Linked DNA regions of Alligator mississippiensis. The protein of the gene in region 1 interacts with the protein of each later gene in a pairwise test. Links are inferred from orthologs where the notes say so. Each region holds a gene or a part of one and is shown on either strand. Other genes may lie near its edges.

Evidence for each region.
Region 2: the proteins of EHHADH (region 1) and ACTG1 interact in binary tests that used the Homo sapiens proteins (3 or more experiments, as listed by UniProt). The two-hybrid records come from large-scale screens. The link is inferred for Alligator mississippiensis from reciprocal best matches to the Homo sapiens genes EHHADH and ACTG1.

The regions. Positions count from the first base shown.
Region 1 is NC_081830.1:29,982,581-29,991,153, forward strand, and holds the start of EHHADH (peroxisomal bifunctional enzyme), read right to left. Parts: upstream 3,548-8,573; coding exon 3,433-3,547; intron 2,433-3,432; coding exon 2,298-2,432; intron 1,416-2,297; coding exon 1,240-1,415; intron 1-1,239. UniProt on the Homo sapiens protein: Peroxisomal trifunctional enzyme possessing 2-enoyl-CoA hydratase, 3-hydroxyacyl-CoA dehydrogenase, and delta 3, delta 2-enoyl-CoA isomerase activities. Catalyzes two of the four reactions of the long chain fatty acids peroxisomal beta-oxidation pathway.
Region 2 is NC_081831.1:1,811,225-1,818,984, forward strand, and holds ACTG1 (actin, cytoplasmic 2), read right to left. Parts: upstream 3,630-7,760; 5' UTR 3,547-3,629; intron 2,919-3,546; 5' UTR 2,909-2,918; coding exon 2,786-2,908; intron 2,693-2,785; coding exon 2,453-2,692; intron 2,099-2,452; coding exon 1,660-2,098; intron 1,526-1,659; coding exon 1,344-1,525; intron 1,228-1,343; coding exon 1,084-1,227; 3' UTR 231-1,083; downstream 1-230. UniProt on the Homo sapiens protein: Actins are highly conserved proteins that are involved in various types of cell motility and are ubiquitously expressed in all eukaryotic cells.

The DNA.
Region 1 (8,573 bases):
AATGTTTTTCCCCCCCCATGTTCTGGATGGGAACCGGGAGAGCTTAACTCTTTTCCCGGCCATGGCACAGACAATGAAATGCCAGGCAAAACAGTATTATTCATGCCTCTGTATGAGGGGGGTGATTCTTGTTGTACAGATAATCTTAATTCTGGCAACTCCTAATCTTTGAAAGCTAGAATGTATTATCACAATTTCCTTTTAACACTGTTTCTGTAAGCAACATGTGTTTATAATGGCAGAAGGGTATTTTTTCACAGTTTTTACTCAAAAAATGTTTTGGCCTAAAATAAAAAAAGAAAGCAAAGCAAAAAAAGAAATTTAAAATGTGCTCCTTAGCTGAAGACAACCATGAACATGTCAGACTTACAACACAGAAATACGCAAGAGCTAACAGCATCTAGAAAAGGTCCTTTTGAACTGAAACGTTAAGGTTGCCTAAGCTATTGATGTCATTGTCCACATCACCAGTAGTGTACCAAAATCTGCCTGGATTATTGGTTAGAAATTTTGCTATTTCCCCACTAATCCCAATAGTGTGATGGAAAAGACAGTGTTCTGCTGAGATACAACAAGGCTAGAGGGAGGGGTTAATTAATTGGTGACCCAGTGACCTCATTAAAATGACAAAATGCCCAAAAACCATTAATGCCATTCTTAAGGGAAGGCTGAAGTGTTTAATGATTGGTTTAAAGTCAGCACGTTAACAGACAAGCATTTTCACATGGAAGTATTGCTCCAGGGCTGTGTCCTGGTAACTCAGCAGAAGCTAGTGAATGCCCCTCCAGGAACAGGCTGTCTCCAACTGTGCAGATCTAAAAATAACAGTGTAGTACTACAACAGCACCAACACTGCTTAGCATGCATCAGCCTTGATCCTGAACGCCCGGAAATAGAGTGCAGCAGGGAGCCCATGTCAGCTGTGCCTCAGGGCAGGAAAATCATGGGATGAGCACTCAGGCAGCTCTCAGCACTGACCTAGAGTGAGCTGCAAGTGAGCCATACAGGGAAGTGGTGGAAAAGCAGGTGAAGAATGGGGGTGTCTGAACAAATACTGTGAAGTCCTAGGCATGCAGATGAGGCAGTAAGATGAGAGCCTCTCCTCTGGCCTTACTGTGGCTCCTGCGAAAACCTCAAGGTGAGAGATCACCCTGTTGTACTCCGTGCACCCCTGTACAGAACCTGACCTTGCGTACCTGTGGCCCATTGCTGAACTCTGTTGTTACCATCACATCCTACCTGTGCATGTGCAATCCTGTAATGACAGCCCAGTGCTACTTCCAAGCCTCCTCCCAAAGCCACGCCTTCAATGGCAGCCACCACTGGCTTCTGACTTCTCTCTATCAGAGAGACTGTTTCTGCCAAAGCAGGTCTGTCTCTTGGCGGGAGGGAGGAGAACATTCGAATATCAGCACCTGATGAAACACAGAGGAACTTAGACTGTAAAAAAAAAAAACCAACAAAAAAACCCACACACACACAAAAAAAAAAACACAGCAGGGAAAGGATTGCCTATCACGCCCCTTCCTTCTAGGCAACTCAACCCAGCTGAAATACCATGGAGTCCAAGTCAGACCTGAACTTGCAAGACAGCAATCCTGATTCCCAGGCTTGTCAAGCAGGTCAAAGATGGTGAAGAAAGGTAAAACTAATCAAACCCCTGCACAGTGTCCAGGACCCTATGTGACAAAACCTATTATTAGCCTTTTCTGTCTTTTGGGGTATAGGCTAAATAACTATAAGTGTGTGCAGTAATCACAAATCAATGTCACGACACTACTGTAATTCCCAAGCAATGGGCTCATTGCAATGGGCTCCGTCCTTTGCCCCTGTTTACAAATACAAAGGAAAATACGTCTTATATTTAGTGTCACCCATTGGGAGCGTGAACCATGGGTAAGGAGGTGAAAAAGGATCCTATATGGTCAATTTCTGAGAAACACCACATTAAAGATACATCAGGTTCCTGTAGATGGTGAATGGCTAGAATAATACAAGCATCGAAATACCCCAGACCCTGCTGCTATTCTGAAGAACTGCAGAATTTGTCACCAGGATACCTGTAGTGACTGTAACAGGACTTCCATGGGACATCAAAGTAGTGACTCAGTGGGTGCATGCAGGTGTGCACTGCAGCTTCTACCATTTACCAGTAAAGTCATATGACCCACAGACTGCTTCTCTGTGGGTCAAATCTTGATCCCATCAGTTAAAGGGAAAAGCTTCCAGAGTCTTCAAAGGGGCAAAGAATAAACAGGAACTCTCCATCCATACCTACCTGAAGAAAAATGCCTTACCTGCAGAAAATTTCCCATTTGCCCCACAAATCACAACAGCTTTCACAGAAGGGTCTGAGTCTGCTTTCTTCACTCCTTGTGCTAAAGCCTGGACGACTGCAGAGCTAAAATAAATCAGAGACTCATTGACTGATACTTACCCACGCTATGAATCAGAGAGTTCACATTTCTCATAAATATTAATAGCAGGCCAGGCACAGCAGCATGGTAGAAGGGAGCACCGAGTCCCAGTAAGCTTCTGTAGACCAGCAAAGCTATGCTGGATATCTTATTCAACCCACACCAGCCACATCTTCCATAGAAAACTGCCCAAGTGAATCCGTGCACCCACAGAGAGTCACACTGAGCTCAAGGGCATGTACTGGTTGTTAAGGTCACACCCAAAGCTACAGTGCCAACAATGCTTGTTAGATATGGGGTGCTCAGCTCTCAGCCTGAGGGCCAGATCCAGCCCTCAGTGCTGTGTAATCCAGTCCATACAGCTCCCTACAGATCTTGTGGGGAGTTCCATGGGCTGTGACCCTGGATGCTAGACTCGGCATGCAGGGTGGCATGGGGCCCAATCCTGCCACATAGGGACCGGGTGGGGGCAGTATTAGACCATCACCCATTTGCTGAAATGCCTTGTAACACATTTATTTCTATGGAAGCAAGTAAGCAAGCCAGCCCAACATGCAATATGGGAAAGACCTTTTTTTTCCAAGGCAATTAAATTACTTTCCAACTTAAATGCTTGCACTCAAAAACAGAAATGGTCCCAAGTAGTTTATAAAAATGAATACCAAACCCTTGACAAGATAAGGAAAATATTTCAAAACCCTGAGGGGAGTTTAAGCCAACAGTTCACACCCATGGTATGATCTAGATAATTATCAGGCTTTGAGCTGCCACCACTCGTAGAAATTTAATGTTCATGTTCAGGCATCTGGGAGGCTCCTGGTCCTGGGTATGACTTGAAACTGTACCCTGCTGGGAAAGGATGGCCTGGTGGGGCTTCTCGTGGTGGGGAAGCTCCCCAGAAATGCCAGGCCAGTTGCATCCCCGGTAAAAGGCAGGGAGGGGCTCCTTAAAACCCCAGCCCCCACATCCTGATGGCATACCTTGATTTAGGGCCAGGCACAGGGACCAGGCATACCTTTGCGCACTGGAGGCGCCAGGGAGGGGGTGGGAGTTGGCCCAGAGAGGGTGGGCAGGAGAGTAGCCCCAGAGTGGGGGTAATAGAGCAGGTGTGGCCCACAGAGTAGGGGCATCTTTACGACCTGAAGGACTGCGCGTAAGGAAGGTGTAGAGTAGGACTGAAGGCCAGTCTGAAGGGCTGCACCAGGGGGTGTGTTGAGTAGGGCTGAAGGACAGCCAGAAGGGCAGCACATGGGCCAACCCCCATAAGCATGTGAATATATTGTGAACGTTGCCCAGTGAGGGGCTGGGGGCAGAGTCAGCTCAGTGTTCAGTTAATTGGCTGGTCACTGTCTGGATGAGGGTCACGGAAGACCCAAGAGGCTGTATGCCAGCCAGCCAAGGTGAGAGTAGGCAAGCCTGATGGCTGCTCAAAGGAGTAGGGCAGAGTGAGTGTGGCCCAGCGAAGGACAGCGTGCAAGACGCCTGGTCAGAAAAGGCAGAGTGGAAGAGGCCCCAGTGAGAGGCGGGAGGTATGCGTGTGACCCCAAATAGGGTAGTGTGCAAGAGGCCCAACAGTGGACTGAGTCTGACCCTATCTCAGGCCAGAGCTGTAATAGCAAACTAGATGCCATCTGCAAGGCATGGGCCACAGTATAGGGAAGGCATGGAGCCATGGATAGCACCCCTGGCATTGGGGCAGTAAATGGGCAGCCTCCCGCTTGTTAAATCAGAGAATATCAAGTCATGGCAGGTAAGACAGGGCACAGGTAGGAGGCCAACATGAGACCCGGTCCTGTCATGCCCCCTGTCACAGCAGCCAAAAAGGTAAGATATGTGGGGCCAGGGGGGGTGTGAACAAAGCTCACTGAAATGGATCCCACCCTAGATGGACAGGGCTCTGCCTCCAGTGGGGCAAGAGACAGCAATCCCACTACTGTCCATCTAATGGCTATCAAATAAAAAGTGTAGTTGAGTCACCATTGGCGAAGGAAGACCAGGAGCACAAACCAGACTCCACCACCTTCTCCTTTCTAGGGTACTGCCCTTCTCACTGAGCCACATTCCCTCCATTTATTGTCCTTCTGGTTGCCCAGTGGGCCAGCTTCAGAAGTGAGGCTGGAGAGTGTGTTTGGCAATGCATAGGGGGTTGGAGCACTCAGCTGGGAAGTGGGAGATGCAGGTTCAAACCCCCTTGGAGCAAGGGGTCTCCTGCTTCCTGGGCAAGCGCCATAACAATAGACTAAAGGTGGGGTGTCCCCTTCTCCTTTCTACAAGTTACACACCTAAAATCCATGGAAGTAGCTCAAAAAACTACGTGAGCTGTCCAAATGCTACCTCAAAGCATCAAAGTGGACCTGAATATGGGCTGTTGGGGCTAGCTTTCTTGATCAAAGGCCACAATGAAAGGTATATGAAATGAAGGAAGGGAGGACCAGCATACAGTACAACCTCCTTATAATGAACCACCACAGGGCCAGGAGAAAAAAATCTTTAAAAGAGGGTGCTTGCTACAGCAGGGTTAGTTAGTTGGCTACACCATAAAAATGTGGGAAAAAAGAAAAGAAAAAAGAATTGGTATTATTAAAAAACAGTGGCTTATTAACAATCAAGATTTATTACAATGAGATTGTAGTGTATTCCAAGATAAGAATTGGAAGAAACAGGGAAGTTTCTGGCCCAAAATGGGAGAGATGCTGTCGCATTTATTTTATGTTTAAGAAATAAGGGAAAGAACAGACTTCTTACAGGAGAAAGGGCCATGACCCCAGAGAAGAGAAATGCAGACTGAAGGCTATGACAATGGGGAAACAGCTGACGGGAGAGAGGAAATGAACTGAGAATGTGCAGTTGAGAGAACAAATTAACTATCATGCCAGGGCAATAAGACACCTCATTAGGGATCTGGAGACTGGGTAGAGAAAGTGGCAGGAAGAGGAAAGGTGGATATAGCAGATAAGGAAAGAAAACCATCCCAAATAACAGCAGTGTTTCACAATATAAGGGGCCCTGTCACATGAAGTGAGCTTTAATCAGGCCAGAAGAGAAGGCTGGTACCAGGGAGCTGGTGCAGAGGGAGAGATGCATGGGGAAGCTGAAGTAGAGTTGTAGTAAAAGGGGAGTGAGCAGTGTGCTCTTGTACACTGGATACCCACCCGAGCCATCCTTAGCTGACCAGCTTCAAACAGCAGCAGCAAACTTGGGCAGCAGAAGAAAAACTGATGACTCAAGCTGTCAGAAGAGGAATGGGGGCAAAGAAGGGCATGGAGAAAGAAGAGTTTCTGCATCCAGGGGAAATGAGAAGTACTATATTTACTCAACTACAAGACGAGGTTTTTTTCCCCCATTTAATTGCGGAGAGCCCTTCATCTTGGAATCAAGTATGAGGCAGTGGGAGGGGTAAGCAGCTGCTGCCTGTCCCCTGCTGCCTCTGCACCCCGCCATCTCCCCACTGCAGCCCCTTTCCCCCGCATCCCCTCCGCAGTCTCTCTCCCTGCCTCCCCACCCCACCACTTTATCCTTGCCCCAGCACCAGGAGGCTCAGTCCCCACTCCAGCCTGGGGCATAGAGCAAGATCCCTGCCCACTGCTGTAGCAGCAGTACTGAGCTGGCAAAGCTCCTACAGGGCTGAGCTGGGGCATGCTCTGTGCCCCAAGCTGGAGCTGAGATGGAGCCTGCTGGCATCAGGGCAAAGGCAAGGGAGGCACAGGGGGGAGAGCAGAAGCTGTGGGAGGGAGGGGAAGGGGGAGTAAGCAGCAGGGGGCAAAATGCTTGACCTCCTCACATTACCTGCTCCCCCTCACTGCCTGCCACCCTGCAGCGGTGGGGAGATGGGGTGAGAGGACTAATTTAGAATGACCATCCAATAATTAGGTTCTATACATGGAAAATAATGACAAATTTATACATTTTTCAAGTATAGAATGTAATTGTTGGGAGGGGTCATCTTAAATTCAGGGTCGTCTTGTATTGGGGTAAATGTAGATGTTCAGAAAAGAAGGGAGGAAAAAAAATCAAGGGGGAAAGACACCCCCACATTGTCATCCACATTCAATGAAAATGAAAAGTTGCATTAAATGAACGGACACAGAGAGGGTGAGACACATGAGGAAATAAAGTGAGCAGGGAGCAGATGGCCCAGGAAATCCTGGGAAAGAAGCAGGGCTTAGGAAACTGTCCTGAGTACCCAAGTTTTTGTGAACTGGGAGAGAGCATGAAACCAAGGGCAAGAGTCCTCATGCCCGGAATACCAGTAAGAGAGACTGAAGTCCTCCAGAAAGCAAAGGAAGAAAAGGGAAGGAAAAATCATAAAATTAATGAGAAGGGGCTCAAGAGGCAAGAGATGCTGTGGCTCAGCTGGAAAGGCTGACAGGAAGGCCTAGAGCAGGGAAGACTGATCTGTGGTACGTGTGCCACAAGTGACCTAGGCCGTTTGCTGTGTGGCATGTGGTAGAGCAACAGTTTGGGCTGGGGGCACAGGGCAGGGAGCAGAAAGCAGAGCAGCAGGTGAAGGGGGTCAGAGTGGAACTCAGGGAAGGCGTGGGGTTTAATCTGTCTGCCACAAAGGTTGGCTCCCGCTGGCCCAGAGTTTCCATATATTCCTGGTAGTCTATGCTCCCTCTTCACTCTGCCTATCCCTGGGGAAATTTTGGGATGGGCCACATCCCAGTCCTGTTTCTTTTCAGCCTACTTCTGCCACTTCTTATGGCATGTGACTTTTTTACCTCCCCTTTGCCTCAGGTGACTCCCAGCTCTTCCCATTGTCCTCCCACCATCCCATTCCACACACCAGTCTCCCCCTATTTCAACATCTCACCACCCTCTGGGACTCATAGGCTTCCTTCCCAAGCCTCTTTCTTTCACTGTATTGCTGCTAATGCTGCCATCCCTCCTCTCAATCAGGCCTGCAGCTAGGACATAGAACAGGGCTTGAGGAAAGGGATGGCAAAGGGAAGCTACCCAGAGACTGATGCTAGCAGAAGCAGCTCAAACAGGGATCTCTGGACACCATCAGAGCATCTACAGCTTTAAGAAGGTATTCCCTTAACTGTCCTGACTATTGGTTTATTTTCACCCTTCCCTAGTTGCCCTTTGGTATCTCTTCTCCTTTCTCATATTTTTCCATGTAGCTAATTTCCCTCCAAGAAAACCCCATCCCAAAACCTTCAAGAATTGCAACGCTAGTGTGACATGCTGCTGACTTTGCTTGTGTGTTTGACCCTTTCCACCTGCCCTGGGCCTGTCTACTTGAACAGCAGGATCTCTGGAGCAAGGATCATCTACTTGTGCCTGCACACTGCCTGGCACAGGAAGGCCCCACACCTAGTTGATCTCTAGACACTACTGTAATAAATAAGATGCTTTTTAATTTCAACTCCTCCCTCTCTCCCCCCATATAAGCAGTCTTGCTGCTCCTTGTAACGTCTGATTTCTCACATCTGGCCTTTCTCCCAGATAGATAACCTATGTGCTTATCTTTGCACCCCCTTCCTCTTTGGCTTCTTTAACATGACACCCCGCACTCCAATCCACAGAAACTTTTAGATCATTTTCCTCACTGAGCACTGTGACCATATCATCTCCTCAGATTTTCTCCACTCTGTCTCCCTTCTCTTTCAAACATTTTGTCCTAATCCCCAAAGCCCATCCTTACTTCTCTACCCCAGGCTTTCATTGGGTTTCTCATCCATCCTGAATCTCCTCCAGCCTTGGCCAAAGAACAGACTGCAGTGAATATTTTGTCACAGCAATTAAAATGTATAAAAGAGAAGCAGACACTAAAAGTGCTGCTTTCAGCTACCTCTTCCATTTTCATACCCAATAAGAGGCCTCTCAAATTATCCACATTTCCAAAAGAATCAAAGGGTTTTATGGAACAGCCAATAAAACTCTGAGAAACTGGAGAAATTCTTAAGCACGGAAAGGCAAGGCCCCTGGCTTATCACAGGGAGAAAACAACCCAGTTGTTACGAATAAAATAACCTTATCGCTGCAGCTTCCCTCAAACATTGAGACTAGAATTGTATTTATACTAAAGCCAGAAAACAATTCCCTGCCTCCTACAGACATGTCATGACTCTAGATACAAACATGCCATGATGTTGACAAGCTGATCTGAAGTCCCGTTGCTTATTGCAACAAAGCAAGAACAGGCATGTT
Region 2 (7,760 bases), on another chromosome or scaffold:
CCTGGCCGGCCGCCACCATGCCTGCTCCATCACTGCTGACACCTGCTCAGCAGGTAGGTGTCTGCTTTTAGACTAGGCAGAGCAAGCTGCACTCCTGTCATGCAGCTGCCAGCTTCCCTTGGGAAGGGAGCTGGGCCCTTGTCTCAGACCTGGACACAAGGCTTCTCCCTCTGACACAGGCTCCCCCACCCAGCAGGGGCCAGCACAGCAGGAAGGACAGCACACGCATGTCATTTACTGCAGCGCTTTTATTTTCCTTACAATGACGTGTTGTCGGGCATTACAATTCTCGACCTTGGGATGACTTACAAGTTTTGGTTTTCTACTGTCATGTGAGAACATTAAGGCAACGTACAAAAAAAAATCTTACATAAATTAAACGGGATGCAGAAATTTACAGGTGTAAATGCAGAGTTTCAGCAACTCAAGTCGAGTTAACTTTTAGCCCCGTGTGATGTCTTGCTGGGATACAGGTGGGTGGGAAGATGGAAACGGGCTCCTAAGGCTTGGATGTGATATGTTTTTCCAACCTTGCTAGAACGGCAGCAACAGAAGTGAACTCTTTGATGGACTCCTACCAGCCTCTACATGAAAACTTGGAATACTCAGCGCTTTACAGATTGGAGTCTGACCTCAAATACCCTGTACAGATCTAGTCTCCGGCCCACGAGCTTAGGCTCCAGGCAAGTGTCACTCATCAATAGTAGCAAAGCCAGGAGCCCTACAGGCTCCTTGGCAGATTCTCTTCCACAAACACAAATTAACCTTGGCAGCAGGGTCACACTAGTGACTGCACCTGTACCAGGGTCTAGGTCAGATGTGTACAGGGTATTTTGCTAGAGAGTGTACACCAAGGGAACAAGGAACTTGAATACAAGGTCAAATCAGCGACAGCTTGACAATCCAACAGTGCTGACGTGTGTCTAACATCAGATACAGACTTTCCAAGGGCAAGTTTCTTTGAAAGAAGGCTTATTCCAGTTTTAGGAGGCTAGCATGAGGTGTATAGATTTGCCTGGGCAAACATATACTAGTGAAAAAAATACTCATGCAGCAGATGCTGGGCATCTGCTCGCAGTCCATTTAGAAGCATTTGCGGTGGACAATGGAGGGGCCGGACTCATCGTACTCCTGCTTGCTGATCCACATCTGCTGGAAGGTGGAGAGGGAGGCCAGGATGGAGCCGCCGATCCAGACAGAGTATTTGCGCTCAGGGGGAGCAATGATCTGCAAGGCAACAAAGACAAGTCAGCCGCAGAGCCAGAGCTTTGGAGGCCACCTCCCCTCCCAAGTCCCTGGGCATCCGAGAGAGGGTTTGCTCGTGCCCCGGAGGCTGCACCTACCTTGATTTTCATTGTGCTGGGTGCCAGGGCTGTGATTTCCTTCTGCATTCTGTCGGCGATGCCAGGGTACATGGTGGTACCACCGGACAATACTGTGTTGGCATACAGGTCCTTTCGGATGTCTACGTCACACTTCATGATGGAGTTGAAAGTGGTCTCGTGAATGCCACACGACTCCATACCTGGAGAAGAGAGGTTGCCAGGTCAGCACACAGCTGGCCACTCAAGCCTTGCGCCGCCAGCCCCTGCCCCCTGCACTCAGACCCATGACCCCTGGCACTGACACGTTCCAGGCACGTGCTTGGTAGACACCTACCTAGGAAGGATGGCTGGAAGAGGGCCTCTGGACACCTGAACCGCTCATTGCCGATGGTGATCACCTGCCCATCAGGCAGCTCGTAGCTCTTCTCCAGGGAGGAGGAGGAAGCAGCTGTAGCCATCTCCTGTTCGAAGTCCAGGGCAACGTAGCACAGCTTCTCCTTGATGTCACGCACAATTTCCCTCTCGGCCGTGGTGGTGAAGCTGTAGCCTCTTTCTGTCAGGATCTTCATGAGGTAGTCTGTCAGGTCCCGGCCAGCCAAGTCCAGACGCAGGATGGCGTGGGGCAGAGCGTAGCCCTCGTAGATGGGCACAGTGTGGGTGACACCATCCCCAGAGTCCATAACAATACCAGTGGTACGACCAGAGGCGTACAGGGACAGCACGGCCTGGATAGCAACGTACATGGCTGGGGTGTTGAAGGTCTCAAACATGATCTATGAGGGGGAAGGGAAAGAAAACCGTGGTTTCAGTGACAAGAAGCCTCATCCCAAGCTGGTTCACTCAAATCCAAATTAGATCACACATCATGCTGGCATGCAAGAGTGGGATGTGTGGAGAAAAGGGGAGGGGAAAAAAAAAAAAAAAGAAAAAAAAGGCAAAGAACGCAGGCAGAAAATACACAAATAAAAAGAAACCTGAGACTTCAGGAAGGAAATGCCAGGAGGAGAACAGAACCCTGGAACAGGGAAAGAAAAAGGCGAGTTTAAGGAGATGCCATAAAATTGAAGAGGGCTTGTGCTGCGCAAGGGATGGAGGCGCCGACGGCTGCTCCCGTGGGGAGCCCCTACCTGTGTCATCTTCTCCCTGTTGGCCTTGGGGTTCAGGGGGGCTTCTGTGAGCAGCACGGGGTGCTCCTCCGGGGCCACGCGCAGCTCGTTGTAGAAGGTGTGGTGCCAGATCTTCTCCATGTCGTCCCAGTTGGTGACGATGCCGTGCTCGATGGGGTACTTCAGGGTCAGGATGCCTCTCTTGCTCTGGGCCTCGTCGCCCACGTAGCTGTCCTTCTGACCCATGCCGACCATGACGCCCTTTAAGAGACAAACACGGGAGGGGCGAGGTTAGGGCCGCGGCTCTGGACCGGCTCCGCGGCGCCGCTCGGGGCTGGTCTCCGCCCAACTGACCTGGTGCCTGGGGCGCCCCACGATGGAGGGGAACACGGCCCGAGGAGCGTCGTCTCCTGCAAAGCCAGCTTTGCACATCCCGGAGCCATTGTCGATGACGAGCGCTGCGATTTCTTCTTCCATTGCGGAGGATCTGGGAGGAAGATGAGGAGACCTGTGGTCAGCGGTGCTGAGCAGGCCCCTTGCCAAGCAGGATTCAGTCCCCGCAGCACCCCACCCAGCTCAGGGCTCCACCCCCCATCATGCATTGCATTGCGTTTTTTAAAATGCATTAAGAAAAAAGAGTGGTGGGGGGGTGCTCCAGCAGGCGCTGCTGCAGCTTGCAGGGAGGGGGCAGCACTACAGCCCCCCCACCCCCCTGCAGCACCCCGGGGTGCAGCATCTCCCCCGGAGCCCGGCTCCTCGCAGCTTCCCTCTCTCCTGCCCGCAGGGGGCGCCCGCGCGCCGCGCCGCTCCCCTCCCTTCGAATCTCCCGCGGCGTGACGTCACCCGCCGGTCCAGCCAATCACGCCCCCGCCCCTGGCATCATTCAAATCGCCCGGGTGGACGAAACCATTCCCAACACGCGGGGGTGAAAGAAAAGCCGGTCGCGCCCATTCCAACGGCGGGCGGTTGGGGGTCAGGTGGACCGAACCATTTTTTCCCCTCCCCTCGCTATAGAGCGCGGCAACGGCCGCCTAGGGGGATGAGCCCCTTCCGCGCCATTACGAGAAGAGGGGCGAGAGGCAGGCGAGCGGCCCGCGGCGGGAGGAGCCCTGTACCTGTGCGGAGGAGGCTGGTCTCGGTGCGGGGGGGAAGCGCTGCTGCTAGGTCCGCTGCCGCCGGCTGAGTGAGACCGTCTGTTCGCCCGCCCCGCCCTTTTATACCCGGCGGGCTCGGGCCCCGCCTCGCCGGCCGAGACATCGCCATATATGGAGATCTTTCAGGAACACGCGCGCCCATTGGCTGGCGCGGCCCCGGCCACGTGGGGCGGCTGGTGGGCTCGGCCCCGCCTCTGCCGCCCCGGAACCTGCATGAACCAAGCTGCCGCCCCGGAACCTGCTCCCGGCTCCTGGGGGCCACGGGGCACCCCGGGCATGGGGCACCTGGTCCACGGGGCACCCCGGGCATGGGGCACCTGGGCCATGGGGCACCCGGGTGTGGAGCACCTGGGCCATGCAGCACCCCAGGCATGGGGCACTTGGGCCATGTGACACCCCAGGCATGGGGCACCTAGGCCGTGTGACACCCCAGGCATGGGGCACCTGGGCCACAGGGCAACCGGGGCGTGGGGCACCTGGGTCGTGTGACGCCCCAGGCATGGGGCATCTGGCCCATGCAGCACCCCTGGGCTATGTGGCCATGTGACACCCCGGGCGTGGGGCACCTGGGCCATGCAGCACCCCGGACATGGGGCATTTGGGCCCGTCCTGCACCCTGGGCGTGGAGCATCTGGGCCCGTGCTGCATCTCCGGGCCCACGGTGCCTGGGACCACGCTGCACCCCACTCCCATGGCACCCCGTGCCCAGCACCACCAAGCATGAGGCCCCATGGCACCAGCGCCATGACCCAAGTGCCACGGCCCTTGTGTGATTGCACCGCTCCATGGCCCGCTGCCACGCAAGCGCCGTGGGTGTCTGAGTCCCATGGCAGCTTTCACGGGGCTCCGGGCAGGGACGGTGGAACGGGCCACCCGGTTGTCCTGGGGCACCGACTCTTTCCAGGAAGGCAAACGCTGGGATGGGCGGGTTTACTCAGGCCACCACAAGCACGTGGGGTCAGCATGGAGAGACCTCCCCTGTCATTAGCTGCGACCAGAGGCTGAATGCACGAGTCTCCCCGGACGCGGCCAGCTCGGGGCAGCCCAGGCCATTGGGGTGCACGATGCCGCATCACCAGGCTCGGTGCTCAACGGGGCTCCTAAGTCCCCTGGACAGCAGCAGGAGTTCGGGGCCTACATGCCAGTGAGGCCTGCCCAGGGGCCAGCACTCGCTCGGGGGACGCGCACCCCAGGACTAGCCCCGGCACCTCCGTGGCGCTTACGAGCCGTGTTTGGGGCATCTCGACCCGGTGCGATGGGCCGGGGGCGCTGGCCCCGGGCTACCGGGAAGCAGCGGGAGAGGGAGGGCGTCCACCTGCCCCCAGCACAGCTGGACGCAGCAGGCCACATCTGCCCTAGGGCGTTGCACCTCTGGCTTCAAGCCCCGCTTTGGGGGAAGGGACCAGGCCCCGGCAGGGCTTTCGGTCCAGCCCAGCGCCCATCCCTGTTCTCGCTGCCGAGCAGGAAACATTTGCTCCCTGACGTCAAAGCCCATGAGCGAAGGCAGCGGTGACTGTGCGCCGCGGCAGCGAGCGGGGGAGCCAGGCCCGGATCAGCTCATCTTTAAGCAGCAAAAAAACCCTGCCCCCCTCCCGGCAGGCCCGGGAGGAGGAACCGGCGGGTGCGTTTCCTGGCACCGGGGCTGCAGGCAGCTGGGGAGGCGGAGCGGGAAGTTTCTGCCCAGATGAGGTCTTTCATTGCGGGGCCGAGGGGCTGGGCCACGGCCGGGCCCCGGGGAGCTGCGGGGGAAGGCTAGGAGGAGCAGGAGCTGGGCCCCCCCTTCCCCGACTAAGGGTGCCCGATGCCCGGGGGCAGGAGCGGGTTCATCACCCAGGCAGAGGAAACGGGCATCGCTCATCATGGGGGGGCCCGGCCTGCACAAGCCCCGGGGTTCCAGGTGACTCGTCCCCGGACCGGGCTTCTCCCGATGCCCAAACTAGGAAGCAAATCCCAGCCCAGCCAATGCCGGAGCAAGGCAGGATCCCGGCGTGGATGACTAATCCCAGGGGAAGTCCATCCTACGCTGGGGGAGGCAAGGGAGAGGGCCAGGTTATGCGGAGCCAGGCCCGGGTACCCCCAGCCCCTGGCTCCTCCGGCTGGGCTGGCTCTGGAGCCACCCTCCGCGCCGGCCCCCATATCCAGGCATGGGGATCTGGTCCACCCGGGGAGGATGCCCTGCTGCCCCCGAGGTGGGTTTCTCCCGGTGTTTCCCGGTTCTCGAGGAGGACACGGGCATTCAGCCGTGGGTGACCGGCTCCGTGCCACGTACCCGGCGGGGCGGGGGTGCTGCAGGGTCTTGCCTCTACCCCTCCCCCAGGGAAAGGCCCCTTGGGCCACGGGCGGGCTCCCTGCAGGGCTCTGACGTTCGGGGCGCGAGCAAGCCAGGCGGGTTCCCACGCCCACGGTCCCCGCGCGCCATCGCCCCAGGGCCCGGCCAGGTGGCAAGGTCAAGTGCAGGTTCATGGGGCTCCAGCGTGGTTCCCTCCGGCAGTGCCAGCAGAGCCCCCCCAGGCTGGGTGACATTGTCTCCCGGAGGGGCTGGAGCGTGGGTGGGGGCAGAGCCTGGGGGGCACGGCTCTGCCTCCCCCCCGCCCCCCCGCCCCAGGGCACGGGGAGGCAGTCGTACCAGCCGCACCCGGGATGTGTCACGACCAGGCATGGCGTGACGGGGAGGGAGCAGGTGGAGCCGGCCAGGTGGGCCGGCGGGAGCAGTGCATGCCTATATTTGGTGATCTCGGGCCCAGCCGTGCCCGCCCGCTCCGAAACCTGCCCCGGCTCCCGCCCCGCGGCGAACAGCCGGGGCAGTGCCGGGGCTGGACTTTGGCTCCCCGAAGCCGGGAGCCGGGCGGGGGCACACAGGGCGTGCGGGCACAGCTTGTGCATGGGGGTGAACCCAGAGCTTGCACACAGGGGTGCCACGTGGCCCTGCCTCTCCTCTGCACCCCTGTGGACACAGTGACCTGGGGGGGCAAGCAGGAGGGGAGGGGCGCCCTGCCCTGCCCTGGGAACGGGGAGAACTGGGGCATGGGGGCCGCCCTGGTGCAGCACGGGTGGGCACGGAGCCCCTCCACAGCCTGGGGGCAGGAAGCCTCCCTGAGCCCCCCAGCCCCTTGGATGCACGACGAGCCCCAGACCTGCTGCCCCCCACCTCGCTGCAGCCACGTGGGCAGCACCCACGGGCCCTCCCAGCACTTGCATGGGGGCAGCAACACCCCGGCCTCGATGCTGCCGCACCAGGGCAGCTCCTGCCCCATGCGGGGCCGCGGCTACAAGAACCCCCCCAGCTCTGCCCGCTTTGGGGCACCAGCTCTGGGCTGGGGAGTGCCAAGAAACAGCAGGTTGCTTCCTTGCGGGGGGGTCTGGAAGGTGACACCCATCAGCACTGGCGCTAGGCTGGTCTGTACTGGTGAGAGCGGGTGCTGGGCACCGGAGGCGCCGGCAGGACCCCGACGGGGCGCACTGACGGCAGGGAACTTGCTCTGGCTTCATGCCTGGATCGGGCCCCTCTGCATGGCTGAGATCCAGCCACACGGCCCCCCCGGCAGTGGGACCAGTTCCCTCCATCAGTACGACCAGCTAGGCACCCAGATGGGACTGGGTGCACTGGTTTCCACAGAGTCTGGCTGCAAGCGGTGCCCAGCTGGGCCTGGCCAGCGCCAGGAGGGGAGCCCCCAAACATGCACCATGCACCGGGGCAAGGAGCCCGCATGGGGGACCTCCTCCGCTCCGGCCAGCCTGGGGCCGGGCACGGCAGTTCCTTGCTGCGTCCACCAGGGGGGCCCCTGGACCGGTGCCGTGGCCTGTCCCGTGCCGCAGGCGTGTCCGTGTCGGTGCCCGGCGCCGTGCCCGTGTTGTGCCAGCAGGTGTGTGCAACCTGGGCCGGCCCGCCTGCAGCCTGGGCCCCCAGGGACAAGGGCAGGGACAGTTTGGGAGGGAATCTCCCAGGCCAGTGGCCTGAGATGAGTTTTTCCGTTCTCAGCCTCCGCCAGCAGCCCGGGACTCGGTTCACCTCCTGCCCTGTGGGCTTCACCCGCCGTGCGTGCAGGGCCCAGCTGCTGCCTGGAACAGCCGTGGCGCCCAGCCTGCCCCACAGGAGCCCTGGCCATGGGTGGGGGCAGGGACAGACCTGCCCCTGTGGGCTGGGGACAGGCATCGATCCCCCCTCGACAGTGCTG